2 linked regions of the Pelodiscus sinensis genome follow. The protein of the gene in region 2 interacts with the protein of the main gene of each other region in a biochemical or structural test. Links are inferred from orthologs where the notes say so. Each region holds a gene or a part of one and is shown on either strand. Other genes may lie near its edges. The genes, in order: PGF and FLT1.

The links.
Region 1: the proteins of FLT1 (region 2) and PGF are reported together in a solved structure, tested with the Homo sapiens proteins (2 studies listed by BioGRID and IntAct, with this or other methods). The link is inferred for Pelodiscus sinensis from reciprocal best matches to the Homo sapiens genes FLT1 and PGF.

The regions. Positions count from the first base shown.
Region 1 is NC_134714.1:44,147,681-44,157,212, reverse strand, and holds the start of PGF (placenta growth factor), read right to left. Parts: upstream 4,263-9,532; 5' UTR 3,784-4,262; coding exon 3,718-3,783; intron 1,267-3,717; coding exon 1,224-1,266; intron 1-1,223. UniProt on the Homo sapiens protein: Growth factor active in angiogenesis and endothelial cell growth, stimulating their proliferation and migration. It binds to the receptor FLT1/VEGFR-1. Isoform PlGF-2 binds NRP1/neuropilin-1 and NRP2/neuropilin-2 in a heparin-dependent manner.
Region 2 is NC_134711.1:299,711,126-299,720,210, reverse strand, and holds the start of FLT1 (vascular endothelial growth factor receptor 1), read right to left. Parts: upstream 3,778-9,085; 5' UTR 3,451-3,777; coding exon 3,384-3,450; intron 1-3,383. UniProt on the Homo sapiens protein: Tyrosine-protein kinase that acts as a cell-surface receptor for VEGFA, VEGFB and PGF, and plays an essential role in the development of embryonic vasculature, the regulation of angiogenesis, cell survival, cell migration, macrophage function, chemotaxis, and cancer cell invasion.

The sequences.
Region 1 (9,532 bases), on a different chromosome or scaffold from region 2:
GGTCTCCTCTGTCATGTGCTGAGCTGGAGGCAGAACATTTTTCATCTCCAGACACTGATAAAATCTCCATTTGTTATGCAGAAATGGTGCTCCACACCCTAGCTAAAACAACAGCCCAGTTTTTTCTAGAAGCCCAATTCTGGACTCCCTCTAAAAGTCACCAAGCAATTCTGATCGTCCTTAAAACTAGGGAACGAGTCCCGGAATAGTGGTTGGATTTTTCTGGAAAATTATGTGTCATTTGGAAAAGATGGGGAGATAGCGTCCCGATATGGGACAGCCCAAAAACTAGTGTTTGTTATAGGAGCTGCCACACTGAATCAGAGCAGTTTTCTGGCTAGATCACTCTACTGTCTCCACATTGGCCAGTACCAGATAGATCACTGTTGGTGGCAGTTGCAGGCTAGTCAGTCCCCAGGGGCAAGTATCCTTCTAACCCCAAATAGTTACATGTTGGCTCATGCCCTGAAGAATGATGGCTTATAGTGCCCAAAACCTTGTTACAGGAAAAGCTGCCACAGAGCTCAACTTGGAATGTTTCAGTCATCTGACATTCCAAAAAAATAAAAACAAAAAGGAAAACCTGCTTGGGGTCCAACAAATTATTGCAGTTCAGTTTTTTCACTGTTTACTTTTTAAAAAATTAAATGGACGTGAAAGTCTAAATGAAAAGTCAAAATCTTCTGCCTGAAAATGTCCATATGAAATGTGTTTGTTTGCACCAATTTTTTAACTGAAATAATTCAGCAAATTCAAAGCTAATTTACAAAACATTTTGGTCAAAAATAAATTTCACCTAAAGAATTCTGCTCAGTTCTGATCCTGCTCTTTCCCAGAAAAGGGGCTGCCCTGTTGGCACTCATCAGTTCTGAAGAAGGCTGGATAAGCATCTTCCCAGAGTGCAGTAGTGTGGGTGTCTTGGGGAACTAACTTCTTGGGGGGGGTCAGAGGAGCCATTTTCCCCAATACATTTTCTATGTGTACTCCTCTGTCTCCCCCCAATGACTTATGATAGTCCCAATCTGATTCCCCATAGGCCATGTTTTATCACCTACCTCTGAAGCCTGCCGCCCCTTCCCTGGGGTCTGTCTCCTCCTCTGGGATTAGTGGACATGAGGGGATCCCCAGGCTCCCCGGGCAGGGAGAAGAAGAGAGAGAATTCCAGAGCCCACCGGAGATCTAATATTCTCACATACAGCCAGGAGAACCAGCTACAGACTCACCTTGCGCTTCTGAGGTAATATTTCTGCTGAATCTGTCCCACTGCTGGGAGAGAAATGCAGAGACATTTAGAAAGAGGCAGTGGGGAATAAGCAAAGTGCAGCAAACCCCCACCCATTCTCACCTATCTGCATGCATCATTCACCCACCTATCCATCCACTGTACTTGGCCCTTCCAGCTCAGATCTGTTGTGGAGCATTTGGAGGTATACATGGAGAAGCAGGAAGACAACTGAGCTAATAAATAATAATGATAATAAATAGCATAGAATTATAGGCCTAGAGGGGACCTCATCCAGTCCAATCCGCAGCACTCATGGCAGGAGTGAGTGTTATCTAGCATGTTTATAGCTGTTGTGGATCCGCAAGAGATTGTTTCACTCACCACTTAATGTGGTGACCTTTGAAGTATAATGTGGCAGCTGTATAAGAGCGGCCATTGGTGAAGTTAATTTTAAAACTACTGTAGATTGAGTGCAACACAACAGGGACCGACTCTGCCCTGGCTCCCAGGAGATGGGCTAGGTGGGACATTATTCACTAAACAACAGCTAAGGAGGTTGTGGGAAGGTGAAGACTTTGTGTAACTTCAAACTGCAGGAGGCAGAAGAAACCCAGGCTGACATCTCAGCTCCTATCCAACATGCCATGGGATCCAATAACCACACACGGTCAGCATGTCAGTTTACCTCTCATCCATATAACACCTACCACCCTACCCCCAGTCCTGCCAGGCTGGGGCCTAGGGTCAATACTGGATTAAAATGGAGCCCAACACTGCAAGGAAAGAACTCCCCCTACTGAGTCCCCAGCACTCCTCCTCCCTTTCCTGAGCTAGTTGAGTGTCTCAATACCCCAATCATCATGATGCCAGGGATGTAAAAACTGCCTAAAATAGTTAACTGGTTAAACAGCATGTTTAACTGGTTAACCACTGATCACAGACAGCAAAGGCTGCTCCAGCCCCATGGGCTGGGGGCTGCTCTGTCCCCTCAGGTCTGTCGCAGTCAGGGTCCTGCTGGCCGGGCTGCTCCTGCTAGCTGAGCCCTTTGATTAACCAGTAAGTATGCTTATGCTAATGCTTACAGGGTAACCAGGTAACCATTTAACCTTTTACATCCCTACATGATGCTGTCTGAGCCCCATCTGATTCCCTTCTGCCAGCTCACAGCATGTTGTCATCTGCCCTTCTGGACTCATTCAGGGGCCAGGTATATCTGGGATGTGCCATGCGTATCTGGGATGCTGTATAAATCCGAATTCCTCCAAGCCATGCTCTGGGTTTCCTTTGCAGGGGGAGGAGGGGCTTTGCCATCTAAATGCTGACCAAGGCTGCCCCACTGTGATGGACGGGTAGCACAAAGTGGGCTGGCTGCAGCAGGTATGAGTAGCCCAGATCAGCTGACAGACACTTAGCAGAAGCAAATCACAGGGGTATCAGCTGGGATGGACTTTTCCTCAATGGCAAATGTTTGAAACCAAAAATCAAAGCAAATTAATATATGCTTAAAAAGAGGAAATACCTCCCCTCATCTCCTGGGCTGGGCTGGGCTTCCTCCCACCCCTGGGTACTCAATCAATTACTTAGACTTTCTCAGAGAAGCTGTACAAGGGAGGGGCACTGTTAAGACCTCATTTGCTGGAGAGCAGATGGTGTTCTTGCATCAGGCCACATCCCTGCTTCAGTGCAGTAATGCTCTGCTGCCTTGCTGGTCACAGCACATGCCCTGGGACTCAGCATCCATGGGATATGTGGCTCTGGTAGGGGGGGTCTGGGAAGATGAGTCTCCCACTTGTCTTTCAGCAGATAGGAAACTCTCTGCTGTTGTTCCTGGGAGCAGAGGGCTCTTCCATGGGATTTGCCAGGTGTAGGAGGGTACCTGGGGCTCAGAGTTCACCCGGCTGCTTTGACACCTGTCCCGCACCATGGGACTGCTCTCCTGGGCGAACGGCTCACAGTCTTCTCCAGACACTTTCAGCTGAAGAGCAGTCGCTGGACTGTCTGCAAGCTGCAGACCCATTGCAGCTTTCCTACAATATTGGCACTTCCCCTCTTCTCACAGGATGTAACCTGGGAGTTTATTTTTCCTGGACATAAGATGGAGCCAGCCTTATCATCAGAGAGCATCTGAGATACTGATCTTCTACCCCCTCCCCCCCAGTTGTCGGCCAGCCCAGCAGGATCTCAGTCAGCCTCCTCTTCTTGTGCAAAGGGAGGTCCCAAGGAACAAGGGGTCACTCACAACTCAGAGACTGGGGAGGGTTAGTAGTGGGACAACCCGAGAACAGCTCCTCAGACTGATCTCCACTCTGCAACTGTCCTGCCAAGTACACTACAGGGGCCATTCCTCAGCAGTTCTCTAGTCCCACAGTGATGCAAGAGGGTAACGGGGCTTGGGACCATTACACCAGGATCCCTGAGGACTTTCCCACGGCTAGTGCCCTCTCTGTTCCCCCAGACCCATTATGGGGGTGCAAGAAGCTGCGGTCCCTCACCTGAGCGGGTGGTGCCTGCAGCGCGAGAGCCACAAGAAGTCTCAAGAAGCTGCCGAGAAGCTGCATCACTGGTTCTGCCTCCTCAGTTTTGCCCAAGTGAAGAGTCCCGTGGCCCAGCTAACACAAACATGCTGCCCCGCGGGAGATTCCAGTGCGGGGGGACGGCGGAGCGACCCCCTGGCTGTGGCGCTCCCAGGAGCTGGTCACAATCCAGGACCCGAGCGTCCCCAGCACAGCACCCGTGGATCCAATGACAGCAGCTTAGCCCTGGGAGAGGCTGTGTCCTGCAGGCGATGCTGGCCCGTCGCCAGGAGATGGGAGGACAGCGCTACAGAGCCCCGAGTAGCATGGGTCTTGGGGACAAGGGGCGCAGATCGCCGAGGTGCTCGTCCTGGGACACTGACACCACCTCTGCCCCGCTCAATCGCCGCACCCAAGCCCCCTCCTGCTCCTGCACTGGCGCCCCCCTGCACCCAGCAGCTGCTCTCCAGCCATGTGAATGCTGCCCTGCCGGCTCCGCAGCTCTGTTTCATGAGCAGCAGGCTCCGCCCAAGCCCCTCCCCACCTCACACCCTCACTCCCACTTTCTCTTCCTCCGAGACCGCACAAAGCGGCGCTGCATCCTCCGGACTTCCGAGCCCCGCAGACTCCAGCTGTCCGCCTGCTTCCTCTGGTTGTGCATCCGCGGCCCCGCGTGCCCCGGCGGGGCTCTGGGTGCTCACCCACAGGTGCGCGCGCGTCACTGGGCAGGGGCTGCTGCGAGTGCTGCAGGCGCGCGCAGCTGTGGCTGTGAGCGATGTCGTGGGTTCAGGCAGCTGGGAGCGAGCGCCCGGGCAGGGGTGCCCGGGGGAAGTGAGGCTGTTCTCTCCTAACCCCCCCCCCACCCCCCGCACGTGCAATGGGAGAGTCAATGGGGGTTTTAGGCCCTACAACCACATCGCTTGAGACCCTTCAAATATGACCGGACCTTGGCCAATAGAGTGTAGAAAATGATCTGCCCTGGATCTCCAGTGAGGGAATAGACAGGAGCCAACAGAGCGCTTTAATCTCTAACCCCTATAACTCTCAGCTTCATTCTGTGTAATGTGTGTGCCTGGTTCTCCCTTCCCCACCCTCGCTGGCTCTCCTGCGCTTTTATATTATACTGATGTTGAGAACTCAAGTTCAGGCTGAACCTTATCCCGGCTTCTCCTGGGGGTTAGGCCTTTCTATAGGCTTTCCCTTGAACTAGTTCTCTTAATAAGCATTTGTTCTGTGGCAGTGCCTGGAGGCCTCCATTGGGGCCACGAAGTGCACAGTGCTGTACATAGAGACATGGACATGGTCCTTGCCCTGAGAACTCACAATATAAAGAATCATTTCTCTATTAATCCCTATGAAATACACTGCCGACTGGAATGTTGCAGACCCTGGACTGTGGTATTGGACACGGTGATTTTTATGTTTATTTAAATCTGAGACAGTTGACACATGGGTGAGTGGATTTAATGGTAACAATTGACCCTTCATGACAGCTGCCAAGTTAAACCTGTCTGGTACGGGAGCTCAGAGAAAGCTGAGGAAGGACGCCAACCTTGGGCTGTTGAGCTGCCCCAGGGACCAGAGGCACAGATTCCTCTTTTCTCTGATTTTTAAGAGACAGTTGGAGTTGATAAAGCTAATTTAAGATGCGCCTTGCAGAACTGCTGCCTTTGTACTCTGCATGCATCAGCCCAGAGCCATAACATGTTGTGCTGAGGAGCCAACTACTTTGCTTCAGCTAGAAGAAAAATAAGAGTATTCTGATTTCTTAGAGGTGCCTGGTTGTCTGTGTTAGTCAAGAGGGCATGATCTACAGAGACATGGAGAGCTAACATCCTATGGCTGAAACCTTCTCCACGTCCCAAAATGCCAATATCCAACCTCCCTCCTTCATACTTCCTTCCTCCACATGGCTCAGGAAGGCCCTGTTAGTACAAACTGCTACCATAAGTGTTTAAAAAAACTCCAGGTTAGCATCATCCACTGGCTCTGCCAGTGCATCTGGTTATGGCTATTTATTTTTGTATATCCCATGGGGCAGGGATTCTGGCATCTACAGAGTCTTGAATGCAGTCAGCACTTAATAAATAACAAGAATCTACTCTTTTAGATAGCTGTACAAGCCAGCTGTCCCCATCCCCAAGAACCCCTCCCCACATAACTCAAGTGTATAAAATGGGACAGTGCTGCTCACTGCAAAATATGCGAAGGCAGACTCATCACAGCTATAGTACAATGAGGGGACTGTCGCTCAAATTGTATTTTCTTGCAAGAACTCCAACATTTACACTTCCTTTGGGCTTCCCAGCCTGCTTGCCAATGGTTTTCAGTTGGTTCAAAACCAAGCATCAAATTGGGGAGAAGGGGAATAGCAGTACTCTGCCATGTTCTGCCCACAATAAACTCCACCTGTCAAGCAGAGATACTGAGCCCAGTATTCTGCAACTCAGGCACATATTACTGCACTGCTGTGCACATGGGTCACATTTTCAAGGACTTCTCTGCAGGCATAACAGCTTCCAAGTTACTTTTGCTTATTACTCTTTCTTGAGAATGGAAGAACAAGAAAGGCACTTGGAAGCAGTGTGTCAATATGCTACACTGCTGCTCACCAGCTCAATCCTAGGTCAGGGCTGAGACCTGAGATGCCTGTACTTCTAATTGCTTTTCATATAATCCCACCTATGCTAACACTTTCTTGCAAGAGGGTTTTCAATGTCTTTTTAAATCTAAGTTTGTTATCCTACTATTTAAGCGCTTTTATATATACAAACTTCTACTGAAACAACAAAAGGTGTGAATTAAATCCAGTGTAGTTATTTTGGTGCAGACTTGCAAAGAGATCCGTCTGAGGGCTCTTTGCACCCTGGTACCATACCACCAATCCACTCTGAAGCTTTTCTGTTCTTGCCAGATCAGCTGCCTTCTGAAGAGAAAAGCCCCAAAGAGTTTCAAACTCTAGTCGCTGGCAATGTATTGTGACAGTCTCATTTTGCTTTTTAACACACTGGAGAGTGAAATCTCCTGAGCGAGGAAGTGGTGGCTGTTAGGCTGAGTCAGGGCTACAGATAGAAGAGCGTGGGAAATTAACTCTCTGGTAATCAGAAATAACAATCCCTGACAACACGAGGAGCCAAACTCTGTTGTCAGTGTGCTGGTGTGAAGGAATAACCAGGACAGTTATGTTCTCTCTCTAACCCAGGGAGTCTTGGCAAAGCTGCAGTTCTGGTGGGTAGGGCAGATTTGGGCACCTGAAGGTAGCATGATCCAAAATGGGACACTAGTAACAGCTCTGCACAGTGGGATTCATGTCAGGGTTCAGAATTCTCTTGTCCTCCCAGGAAATAGACATGGCCCCCCAGTGTGGCAACTAAGGCTTCCCATGACAGGGGAGATTAAATCCTTATCCTCCTGAGTCTTTGCACAAGGGAGCAAACACGATCCACTTATGCTCTGAGAGGAGCAAGAGGCCCCTGTGATGAGCTGGAATTCCTCAGTGCTGAGCTGCATCTGGCTGCTTTGTGGGCTCATGTTCCCAGGGTGTGTGCACCAGGCGCTGGAATGCGGCTCCAGCAGACACGCATTCTTGTCAATAACAGACCAGGGCAGAGCCTGCTTCTCTGTCTGTTCCATCTCAGCCTTCCCAAGATTGAGGGACAAACCAGGAAAGCACTTCCCAGCCCAAGCCTCCACCTTCACAAGGACATGAGGGAGGTGGTGATGAGGAATCATTTGTCAGCAACCCAGCAAGGCTTACATGTTGTCTGAACCCATCCAACATATCCCTGCTGAGCTCATGGACATGACAAGCCATCCCATTTCTGGTGTCACAGCCCTAGTCAAGCTCCCCTTTCTGAACACTCACCAAGGCTGTTGTGTTTGGATCCCAACACACTGGGCCCATTGCACTTTAAGCCCTTTGGTCTTTGGCCTCTCTGGCACACTTCCCAGGCACAGCTTGTCTGTTACATCTTCATAGAGACAGCAGCTCACCACACAGCTGCCCTAGGACCCAAGATCAGTGCTAACCACCTCCAAGACTGCCTGATAGCTTAGGGACATCTTTGTCCAGAGCTCCAACCCCATGATTCAGTAGTGGGCAACCGGAGGCCTACTCGGGTTCTGTGTGTGGCTTGTGAGGCATTTTGTTTACTGTTGCCCATGTGCCGGGTTGCCAGAGTCCACTGGTTTCCAGCCACGTAGTTTTCTTCCTCCTGGTATTACTAAAACAACATGCACTTACAGAAAGGGTACCTGAGGTGAAGTGTATGCTCATTGCAACAACACTGACTGTGAGAGCTGTGCACTCCCTCTGCATCCAATCAAAGCCTTGCTAGGTTCAATTGCCATACCTTGCAAATTCTAGGACTCAAGCACAGTGAGCAAAACTACTCTACCTTGGGAACCCATTTTGGTTATATCAATCTCGCAGCCCACTGAGGTGAAGGAGGGCGACTCATGTGGCCCACTCGCAAGCCTAAGCTGCACCAGACTAACACGGCTACATTTCTACCACATCACTGCGTATAGGCACTTGAGTTACAGTCCAACTCCAGAGGAGTACGTGATTGCCGAAGCCCATAATACAGGGGGTTTGTAAAAGTTTCTAACACAATCACATTAGTGAGCCCAAGAGAGATACAGACTGAGGTAAAAATAACACCACATCTACATGCTGTTCCCTGCCTCAGCTTCCTTACCCCTTGGGAGTGTTCTTTGGGATTTGGTTGGACTCCAGGATTCCCTTCCTGCACATGCCTCTCCTTCAAATCACAGAATGTTTCTTCGCTGCAAGTAGCTTTCTTCTTCACCAGCTGGCCCCAGGGCAGGCATGATTATTTGCAGGGCTTAGTTAGAATAGGATGGTGGGGCCTGGGCCACCAATAGCTTCACAGTGGACCGGGGACTCTGGCTCTGCCCAGGTGGGGCTGCAGCAGCTGCTCTCTCAGCAGCATGAAGAGCTCCTGGGCTGACAGCATGAGGAGCCAGATCGCCAGAGGCACTGGCATCCAAAACAGGCTCCTCCTCTTCTCCCGCAGACCCCACTGGGCGGGGGGGGGGGGGGGGGGGGCTACCACTGCCATGCACAGTCTACTGCTTCAGGCAGTGCCTCAGGTAGGACATGCCACCCAGGCAGGTGGGACCAATAATAAAGCACGGGGCCACATGCAGGGGGGACTGACTGCACATGCCTCACACCAGCCATGGCTGGCCCCACAGTCAAAAAGGAGCTCTCTGCTATAAAAGTATGCCAGCCCCTTCATTCTCTCCCCTGCCTGAAACTTCTTGTCTTTATATCAGCACTCCCTTGATAAACTTGGTTAAACAGGTTTTCCAGCTCAGGAACCCTCCTCAGCATACCTCTGATATGATGCCTGCACAGTCATTAAGGTTAATGACTTATTTTGTTTGGATTGTAGCTTCTCCCAGACAGGGTGAGGGAAAGAGTCGGGGAATCTCAACAGCCCATGGCTGACTCACTGAGGAATTCAATGATGCAGCAATTTCATAAAATGCACCAGAATTCATCAGCCGGATAATGGATTCCCCAAATTATCACAATGGGGAAAGAAGAAAGAACATTAAAAAGCCAACACAGGCTGGATGGGCAGGTGCCCTTAGGCCTTGTCACAATGCAAGAACATCATGGCACTCCACAACAGCAGAGCTCAGCCCCCACGACTTGGCCACATACTGCATGCACTCCCTAATGCCCCACAGATTGGCTGGCACTGCATGCACTCCCTAATGCCCCACAGACTGGCTGGCACAAATCATTGGGAATGGGAAATTG
Region 2 (9,085 bases):
TGTGTAAAGAATCCTTTAGCCCTTGCGCAACCATGCCCTAATTTATTTAAATTGTGCAGGATTAGACCATAATATGGCATGAAAGGTTTAATTTCTACCATTTGGTAAACGTGCTTAGCAAATGCTACTGGATGGATATAAACAAATGATCACGCATATATGCAAACATAAAAAACAAACTAACATGCTCTGCTGTGACATGGGAGAGAAGCCAACATTGTAGTGGCAGGTGAATATCTCTGAATGCAAAGATCTCCTAAAGCTCGGACTGACAATTACAAGAAAATAAATATTATTTCTTCAATCTAATTTCCAAAGAGACACATAGCTAATGTGTTAGCATAGGAAACTTTAAATGACTGAAAACACATGTACTAATTCAAATACCATTTCCTCTTCTCTTTCCTAATGACTCCCTATCACAAATAATTGCTAAACCAACTCCTCCTAACAGTCTGGTCCAACTTACTGTCTTCTAAACGAGAGCAGAGCTTCTCCCCTCCGATGCTTCAATGAGTGAGAGGATGTAAGTAGATTAGCCATACAGGGTATGTCTACCCAGCATTTTGGATGGCAGAGGCCAGGCTGGCAGACTGTGCTGGGGGCTGATGCCGACAATCTAAAAATAACTATATAATGGGCACTCTGAAGTCTCTGACTAGCGCTTGGGTTCTGAAGTCTGCAGAGTGGCCTGTGTTGACCGCCCAAGCACCACCCTGAGTTGCACACCAACGCAACCTCTCTACAGCTATTTTTTTAGTGTTCCTGCAAGCCTTGATCTGATTTGAAGCTGTGTTTCTTACATCAGTGCCCTAGCCACAGATCTAGAGTCAGATCCTCTTGCCTTATCTATGCAAAGTGGAACAGCTTCCATGGGAGCCATTGACAGTCCCCACCTTCAAACACTCAATAGCCTGGTAATTAGGGCTCTCACTGCAGGTATGGCAGAGCAGGGCTTTAATTTATGTCCCCTACCTGCCACGTGAGTGCCCTGACCATTAGGCTATTGGCTATGCCAGGGGCGTACCCTCTCTCATGCACTTTTCCATGAGAAAGGTCTCCATTTCCTCCCATTGCAGAATGGGGAAATGTTTTGATAGTTGAAAAATGTTCATGCAATGGGAAAACCATTTCCTTCCCAGATCTGCTTCTGGTGATGGGAGTAAGAGTCTATGGAGAATCAATGCATTAACTTTAACAAGTAATTCCTCACCACCCAATCCTCCATTCCACACCCCTTCCTGCTCTTTTAGTATTCAGGGCCTGATCCTGCTCAAAATTGAAGTCATGGAGAGTTTTGCTATGGACTTCAAAGGAGCATGGTCTTCCCTTCTGGGAGATCTACTACACAGCAAGTGACAGAATAGGAGACTTTGTAGGATAGATAATGACCATATACTGTAGTTAGTGTGTTGGCATACATGCCCCATCACCAGTTTCCCATCCCAACTGAAAATCACTAGCAGGATTTGACCCCACTGCCTCTAATTGTATATATGCAGACAGAGCTGTATTCTCAATGCTTTTCAAGTCAAAATCTGTCAATGAAACAATACAATATTTTGGGACTGTTTTACTCACATGCACAAATTATTTCTATTACTGCCAGGACTTTATGAAATCAGCACAGCCTTTATAACTGTACTGGGCATCAGCTATTCAGGCAGGATTTAATAGAAACCAGAAGGTAGAATAGTTTGCCGGAAAATGTAACACTTAACTGGCTCTGTAATCTTCCTTACAAATAATTTATAGCACATCATGCAACAGAATAATTTGATTACGCTCATGTAAAAATATTTGCTACTTACTTAGAAACTCTGATTCAACCTGCCCCTTAGCATAGTCATCACATTGAACAAAATGTAGTTGTCTCTCTGAGGCTAATCTCAATTAGCAATTTTCCTCTGTTGCAGACTTTACATTTGCTTTCCATTATGTGGCAAATCCATACCTGGCTTCAGTATGGTTACACCAGGTCTATATTTGGCCCTGTTTCCACATGCATTTTAGTATTTTCTCACACTTGAACAAGAGCTCTCCTTCTGCCTGGTTCAACTCCCGTGAATCTTCAAACAGCTTTACCTCTCATCTGGAAAGCTCTGTTCCAGCACCAAGAAAAGCAAGCATGCCACTGCAAAAATCCATAACCTTGTGCGCCCCAGCAAATTAGAACTTCGCCCTGCTGGCCCGACTGGTTTGAATGCTCCGAACTGTACCATCAAAACAGACCATGCACATTGCTTAACCAGACAAACCCAGGCTCCAATACTTTTACCGGATCCAGGGAATATGGGCCACAGGTCTCTACATTCTGTTGAGGAAATGGAAACCAAGCGACGTCCTTGCTAAAATACCTGGTCCCTGATACATCCCGGCACACAAGCCCTGGTAACATCCACACATGGACCGGGAGCCACCATGCTATGGCCAATTTTTTTTTCACCTAGATCCGCAATATTTTACTCTCTCTAGAGACAAAGTATAGCTTGAATGAGATAAATCTGTGTCCCGAGCTCTGCTTTGATAGATCTCTGTCCTGGCGGTGCTATTTACCACGCATACTTCAGGATCTGGATCTTAGCAGTGGGATCGGGGCTGGCGCTCTTCTTTCTGGTAGAATTTAAGGCTTTGAGATTTAAAACCCAGCCGCATCTAGGTGCGCACAGGGCTGGATTTTCGGGGTCGCTAATAGTTGCTACATTTTTTCCCCCTTTAAAAATAGGATTTTGCGGAAATAGGATTAAAATGGTCACGACTGAAGTACTCATTGTGCCTCCCACACTGGTCAGATTGATGTTGGACCAGGATGTATCAGAGTCCAGATTGCTCCAGGGAAGTGCGACTACCGCGAGTGTCTGTTTCGATCGTACAATTTACATCCAGTTTTTCCAACATCTTGCGGGAGCCCCGGGCTGAAACCGGGCCCGGGATGCTGCCTGTAGCAAGGAGGGAACCGCTAGCCTTGCTCTTTACATTTCGATGCTACAAGTTGTGGGTTTGGAGCCACAGCGCGGCAGGATCCAGCTTCTCCCCAGCGTTTCACAATGTCTGCCCAGGAGAGTTAGACGGGGCAGCTCCGAGGGGGACCACGGGAACCTGCTTACAGGATAATAGGGGCAGCGCCCCGTTTGGGAGCAAAGCAGCCTCCAGCTGGGAACAGGGGGAGGCAGCGGGGGCCCTGTGGGGAGAGGAGAAATGCCGTCCGGGTGGGACCCCAGCTCCCGTCCCCCTGCGGGTCAGACTCCCCCAGGCACTGCCCGGGATTTGGAGGTGTCTCTCTGGGGCGCAGAGCCTCGCGCAGCCGGCTGTCCCATGGATCATTTAACTTCGACCGTCCTCCTCCCTTCATCCTTCCCCCCGCAGGGGAACGGGCCACTCACCTGCGAAAAGGAGAGCGGGTGCCAGCAGCCCGCACAGCATGGCCCCTGCGAGCGCCCGGCTGCCCATGGTCCTGCCCGGGAGGTGCGCGCAGGGTGGAGAGCTTTGCCCGAGCCTGCTCGGAGAGAGGACGCGGCTCGAGGACACCCAGCAGAGGGGCTGCTGCTCCGGCAGCCGGCCCGGACTCGCTTTCCCCACGGGGGATAAGCTAGTTGGGCAGCAGGTCCCGGGGAGAGATCACCATCCAGCAGCCCCTAGCCCCGGGCAGCGCTGCGCTCCGCTCCGTAAGGGCGCTTCCAGCTGCGCGCTTAAACTCCCGTGGACATCCCTTCGCAGGGAGCTGCCCGCCGCCCGGCTGATTTATAACCTCCACATCCTCCCGGCGGATCACGCCCTCCTCTCTGCGTCACCGGGTCCCCCTCCCCTCCGGAGCCCCCGGCCCCTCCGGCCCCCTGCCGTGCCCTGCTGCCTGCGCAGGAGTGCGGCTGGAGCCAGCGCCCACTTCCCGGCCCCTCCGTGCCCACGCTGCGCTGCCCCCCAGCCCGCCGCCCCCCGTCACTCCCACAGCGCTGCAGTCCCATCGCACCGCGTCCTCCGCCTGCGCTCCCGGCCCCAGCGAGGCTGGGATACACGTGTGTCCTAGTGCTAGTGCATCTGCCCTGCCCTGGCTCTGTTACCCCCCCCCCCCCCCCATCAGCCTGAGTCCGGCTGGGCAGCGCCTCTCCATCGCCGCCAGCCCCACAGCGCGGGGCCCGGCTCCCCCTGCCAGCGCCTCCCCTGGGCACCGGGGGACGGGAGCCGCTGGCTGCAGGCAGATCGCGGGCCCTGCATTGCCTCGGGACCTTCCCGCTAGCGGCTCCCGGGCGGCCCCGGTAAAGTACCGCGGGCTGAGCGCAGCGCGGACGTCCACCTCTGGGCAGTGGCTTCACGCCCTGCAGCTCAGCAAGCGGGGCGCTCGGTGCCGAGCGCTTCTCCCCGCGGGGCTCGCCGAGCTGGGGCGGCCTCCGCACGGCTGCTCACACTGGAGATGCTCCGGGCGACCGGCCCGCTCTCCTTGGGTTGCTCTTTGCTGGCTCCGGGAAAGCCGCAGGGTCTGCCTGCCCGGCGAGGAGCGCAGTGCTCTTGTCACTGGCAGGAACGCCACCGTATTAAGTTCCCTCTCGGCCTCCGCGGGGCGGGTGGGTGCTAAGGACCCCCAGGTCACAGCACGAGCAATCGGAGGCACCAGACCTGAGGCACCTCGTCCAAAGTCACGGGCAGCTCGTGACAATGCCTGCATCCCCTTGGCCCAAGAAGTAAGCCCCTGGTTTCAAATGGGTAGTTTTATCTTTCAACTTTGAAAGTAGTAGAGCAGAGTATCTGTGTGAACTCCCGAAACAGGACTGTGATTTGATCCTGTACTTTCAATACTGTGACCAGAAATAAAAATATGTCTCTATAGAAGCTTCCACCCATGAACCACTGGAAAGGCTGGCTGCTTTTCCAGTCAGAAATTACTCCTGATACTACTGCTCCCAGGAATAGAGAGGGAAGAGCAGCAGCAGGAGACCCAGAAGGAAATTCGTACACTAAGTACCCTGAGGCCTCTCAACACAGACCACAGAAGCAGGGCAGGATAGGTTCCTCCTGGTAGGGGACCTCCAGGAAGAGACAGAGAGGAGAAACAGAAGCAGGATCAGAAGAATGCACCTTCGGAGCTCATTATATCTTCAAAAGTGGTCAGAAGGAGCCAGAAAAGGGGAGGAGGAAAAGGGGGTTGGATGCTGATGATGAAGGATTGAAATTATCCTGACAGGGAGATGAAAAGAACTAGACAATAGACACTTTTAGGGCTAAACTGCAGCTTTTTTTTTTCAATCCTTTTGTCAGAAGAGGCTTTTCTGACATTTGGCTTGTCTAGACTGGGCCAAATGTTAGGAAAAAACCCTCTTTCGGAAGCCCCCTTATTCCTAGTAGAACAAGGAATACAGGGACTTGCTAAAGAGCGCATTTGCTTTTCCGGAAAAAAAACAGAAGAGCAAATGCATCCCTAGATGCAGAAGAGTTTTCCAGGGATATCTTGGGTATCCTGGAAAACCTCTTGGAGTAGTCTAGCCATAAAGCAAAACTCTGGTCGCAAAACACAAGAGGAAGGATTAAATACTAACCACACACTTGTATGGCATGGGTTGGGCAGAAGGAGGCAAATCAGAGCACCGTTGAAAGGCACTTGAATACTGTGCACTATAGAGCAGCAGGGTGGTCTGTTTGTCCCTACTAAATTTTGTTTAATATTATGTACTATTCTTTCCCTATATTGTCTATTTAGATTATCAGTTCTGCACACTGCCCTTGTCTGTTTGTTTAGGCCCAGATTTGATGGGAGTGGTTGGGTGTTACTGGAATATAGATATTACATAATCAAGCCACAGACCTAGGGAAGAGTCAGTACCAAATATATATACACACCTGCTACTGGAAGGATTGGCAAGCCTGCGGAGAGGTGTACTTCCCTGACTATTTTGCACCAGAATGTTAGCCCCAGATATGGTATACAGACAGACATTTTTTGTCCTCACATGTTTTAAGGCCTGTCACATTCCCTTTGGCAATGAATTGTGGGATATTTATTTTCAAACTTTGGATAAAAAATATTACCAAATGCTAAAAAGAAAACCTGCCAAACATAATAGCTAAGACTAAAACCTCTACAAAATGTGACAAACATGTCTGCTGAAGGGCTGATGGGGACCAGTTGCTAAGTCTGTAGCTTTACAGATTTCTGGTGAGGAATTGGAAATGCCCGTAGGCAAATCAACTTGTTTTGTAATTGCAAAGGTTCACCAACTCAGTGACATTGTAGTTCCCCAAAAGTGGGTGTTAATGCTCTCGGTCCCCCTGCAGTTTTCACTCACTACTCTGTTTATTGCTCTTCCACTGATGACCAGTACCAAGTGCTATGAATGCCCTTGTTCTTGCTATGGAGTGAGCTGGCTTCTTCTGTAAGCTGTAAACAGCATGTAGAGTTGTTGTGCCAAGACCCAAGAACACTAAGCCTACACTATCCTACAGAGCATGCTATGTAGAAGATAAGCACAGTATGATAGCCACTGCTCCAGTGAGTAACCTAAATATTCCTGTATAGAATTGGGGCCTTTCAGAGCAGATTGTGCTGCAGGATGTTCAGTGTTGATGTTGATCTAACAGAAGAGAAGAAGAAATAATATATTAATTAATTAATTAATAGATTAATTAATTCTGAATTAATTCCAACTTTTTCCATGTCAGTTCTTTGTTAAAATTGTTCCCAGGTATCCCTCAAAACATTACCATGCTGAACAGTGCCTGCACTTTCAGCACTCGGACCATAAATGGATGGCGCTTGTGAAAGGGTGAGTCTTGTGTAGGCATTGGTGTTGGGGCAGAGTACAGCCAGAGGCAGATGTGTGATGTGGGGGTCCAATTGCCTGAAGTGTAGACAGATAAATTAACCTACCCATAGCACAAAGTCTTTGCCAACTTGTCCTGGATTAAAGTGCTCTGGGGTGACTTGGACTGCCCTACAGTCCATTACACCATTCCATCCAAGCTAGCACCATTAGGGTGCTCAACCTAGGGATGTGCTATTCATGCTCTAGTGATGCTCATACATGGTATATTGGGTTTTCATGAAAATGGAAAAGGGCTACACCATTCACTGTAAATAGAGGGATCTCACCCAGGAGATATGAATAGTTTAAAGTTGTCAACACATGCACACTGGATGGAGTAGATCACTCAGTATAGCTTCCCTGTTGGACGATACTTTGTTAGCAAAGACTGCAGCATATCCCAGCCTCAGTAAATATCCTGGGATATGGATATATGTGTTTGAAACTCCCTTGGACCTTTAAGAGAGGAGAAAACCACTTGAGGCAACACTCAGCCCACTGTAAAACCAAAATACATGGGAACATTTTAGCAGGAAATTCCTTTCTGGTTCCACTGGTGGTTGAAATCAATCACTTCACTGTGAGCAGTAACACAGGGCAGAGCACCTTCCCCAGAGATGACAATCCCCACTAGTGGGCATGCTAAAACAAGGAAACTATGCAATTATATATGGGAAGGGTGGAGAGGGAAATAATACGTTCACTCAGATGGAGAGAGTGTATGAAGGTCAGTACTATGAGAGGAAATTCCGTACTTGCTCTGCAACTAAAATTCCTGGCCACTGACATTATATGCCCCCATACTAATTGCTTGCCAATATGACAGGCAAGCCACCAGACTGAGGGCTCAGAGGGTTAGCAGTGGTTCCCACTAAGGTCAAAACTCCATTACTACCAAAAAATGACATGTATGTACAGCCACCAAACACAATGAGCTCCTGTTGCACCTCCCCCTCTCTATTCTGTCCACTTAGGCATTTATATCTTGCTTGTAACCAGTTGGATCATAAGAACATAAAAACGGCCATACTGGATCAGACCAAAGGTCCATCTAGACCAGTATGCTGTCTTCTGACAGTGACCAATGTCAAGTGCCCCAGAGGGAATAAACAGAACAGATAATCATCAAATGATCCATCCTTCATTGCTCATTCCCAGCTTCTGACAAACAGAGGCTAGGGACACTATTCGTGCCCATCCTGACTAATAGCCATTTATGGACTTATCCTCCATGAATGTATATAGTTCTTTTTTGAATCCAGTTAAAGACTTGGCCTTCACAATATACTCTGGCAAGGAGTTCCACAGGTTGACTGTGCATTGTGTGAAGAAATACTTCCTTTTGTTTGTTTTAAACCTGCTACCTATTAATTTAATTTGATGACCCCTAGCTTTTGTGTTATAGGAGTAAGTAAATAACTTCCTTATTTACTTTTTCCACACCAATCATGATTTTATAGATCTTTATCATATCCCCCTTAAGTCTTCTCTTTTCTCAGCTGAAAAGTTACAATCTTATTAATTTCTCTGCATCTGATAGCTGTTTCATACCTCTAATCATTTTTGTTCACTTTTCTAAACTTTTTCTAATACCCAAGATACCTTTTTAAGATGAGGCCACCACATCTGCACATGGTATTGAAGATGTGGGCATACCATGTATTTATATAGAGGCAATAAAATATTCTCTGTCTTATTCTCTATCCCTTGTTAATGATAACTATGGGTATGTCTACACTACAGCACTAATTAGAACTAACTTAGTTCAAATTAGTTAATTCGAACTAAGCTAATTCGAATTAGCACAGCTAGACCTAAAAACTAGTTCAAATTAGCGTTTTGCTAATTCGAACTAGCATGTCCACACAGAGTGGACCCTGAACAGAGGTTAAGGATGGCCAAAAGCAGTGCCGGCAGGGCATCAGATGAGGACTTCGAGCGTGGAGCTGCTGTCTCAGGCTAGCCGAGGGCTGTGCTTAAAGGGACCCGACCCCCACCCCGGACAGACAGTTCTCAGGGTTCCCCGCTTGCAAAGCAGTCCTGGCTTGGAGTGCCCTGAGTGCCCACACGCGTAACATCACAGAACTTGGCCATCACCCCGGCTGCACTTGCCAAAGGCTGCCATCTGGCGGGAGGGGACAATCGGGGGGCTGCAGGAGAGCTTCCACCCCCAGAAGCCCGCAGAGCCAGCCCAGTCATCCCCATCGGGGGCGTGTACCCCATTCCTCCCTCACCTCCTTCCACTTACCCTTCCCTAGCCCCCCTTCCTGATGTACAAAATAAAGAAAACGTGT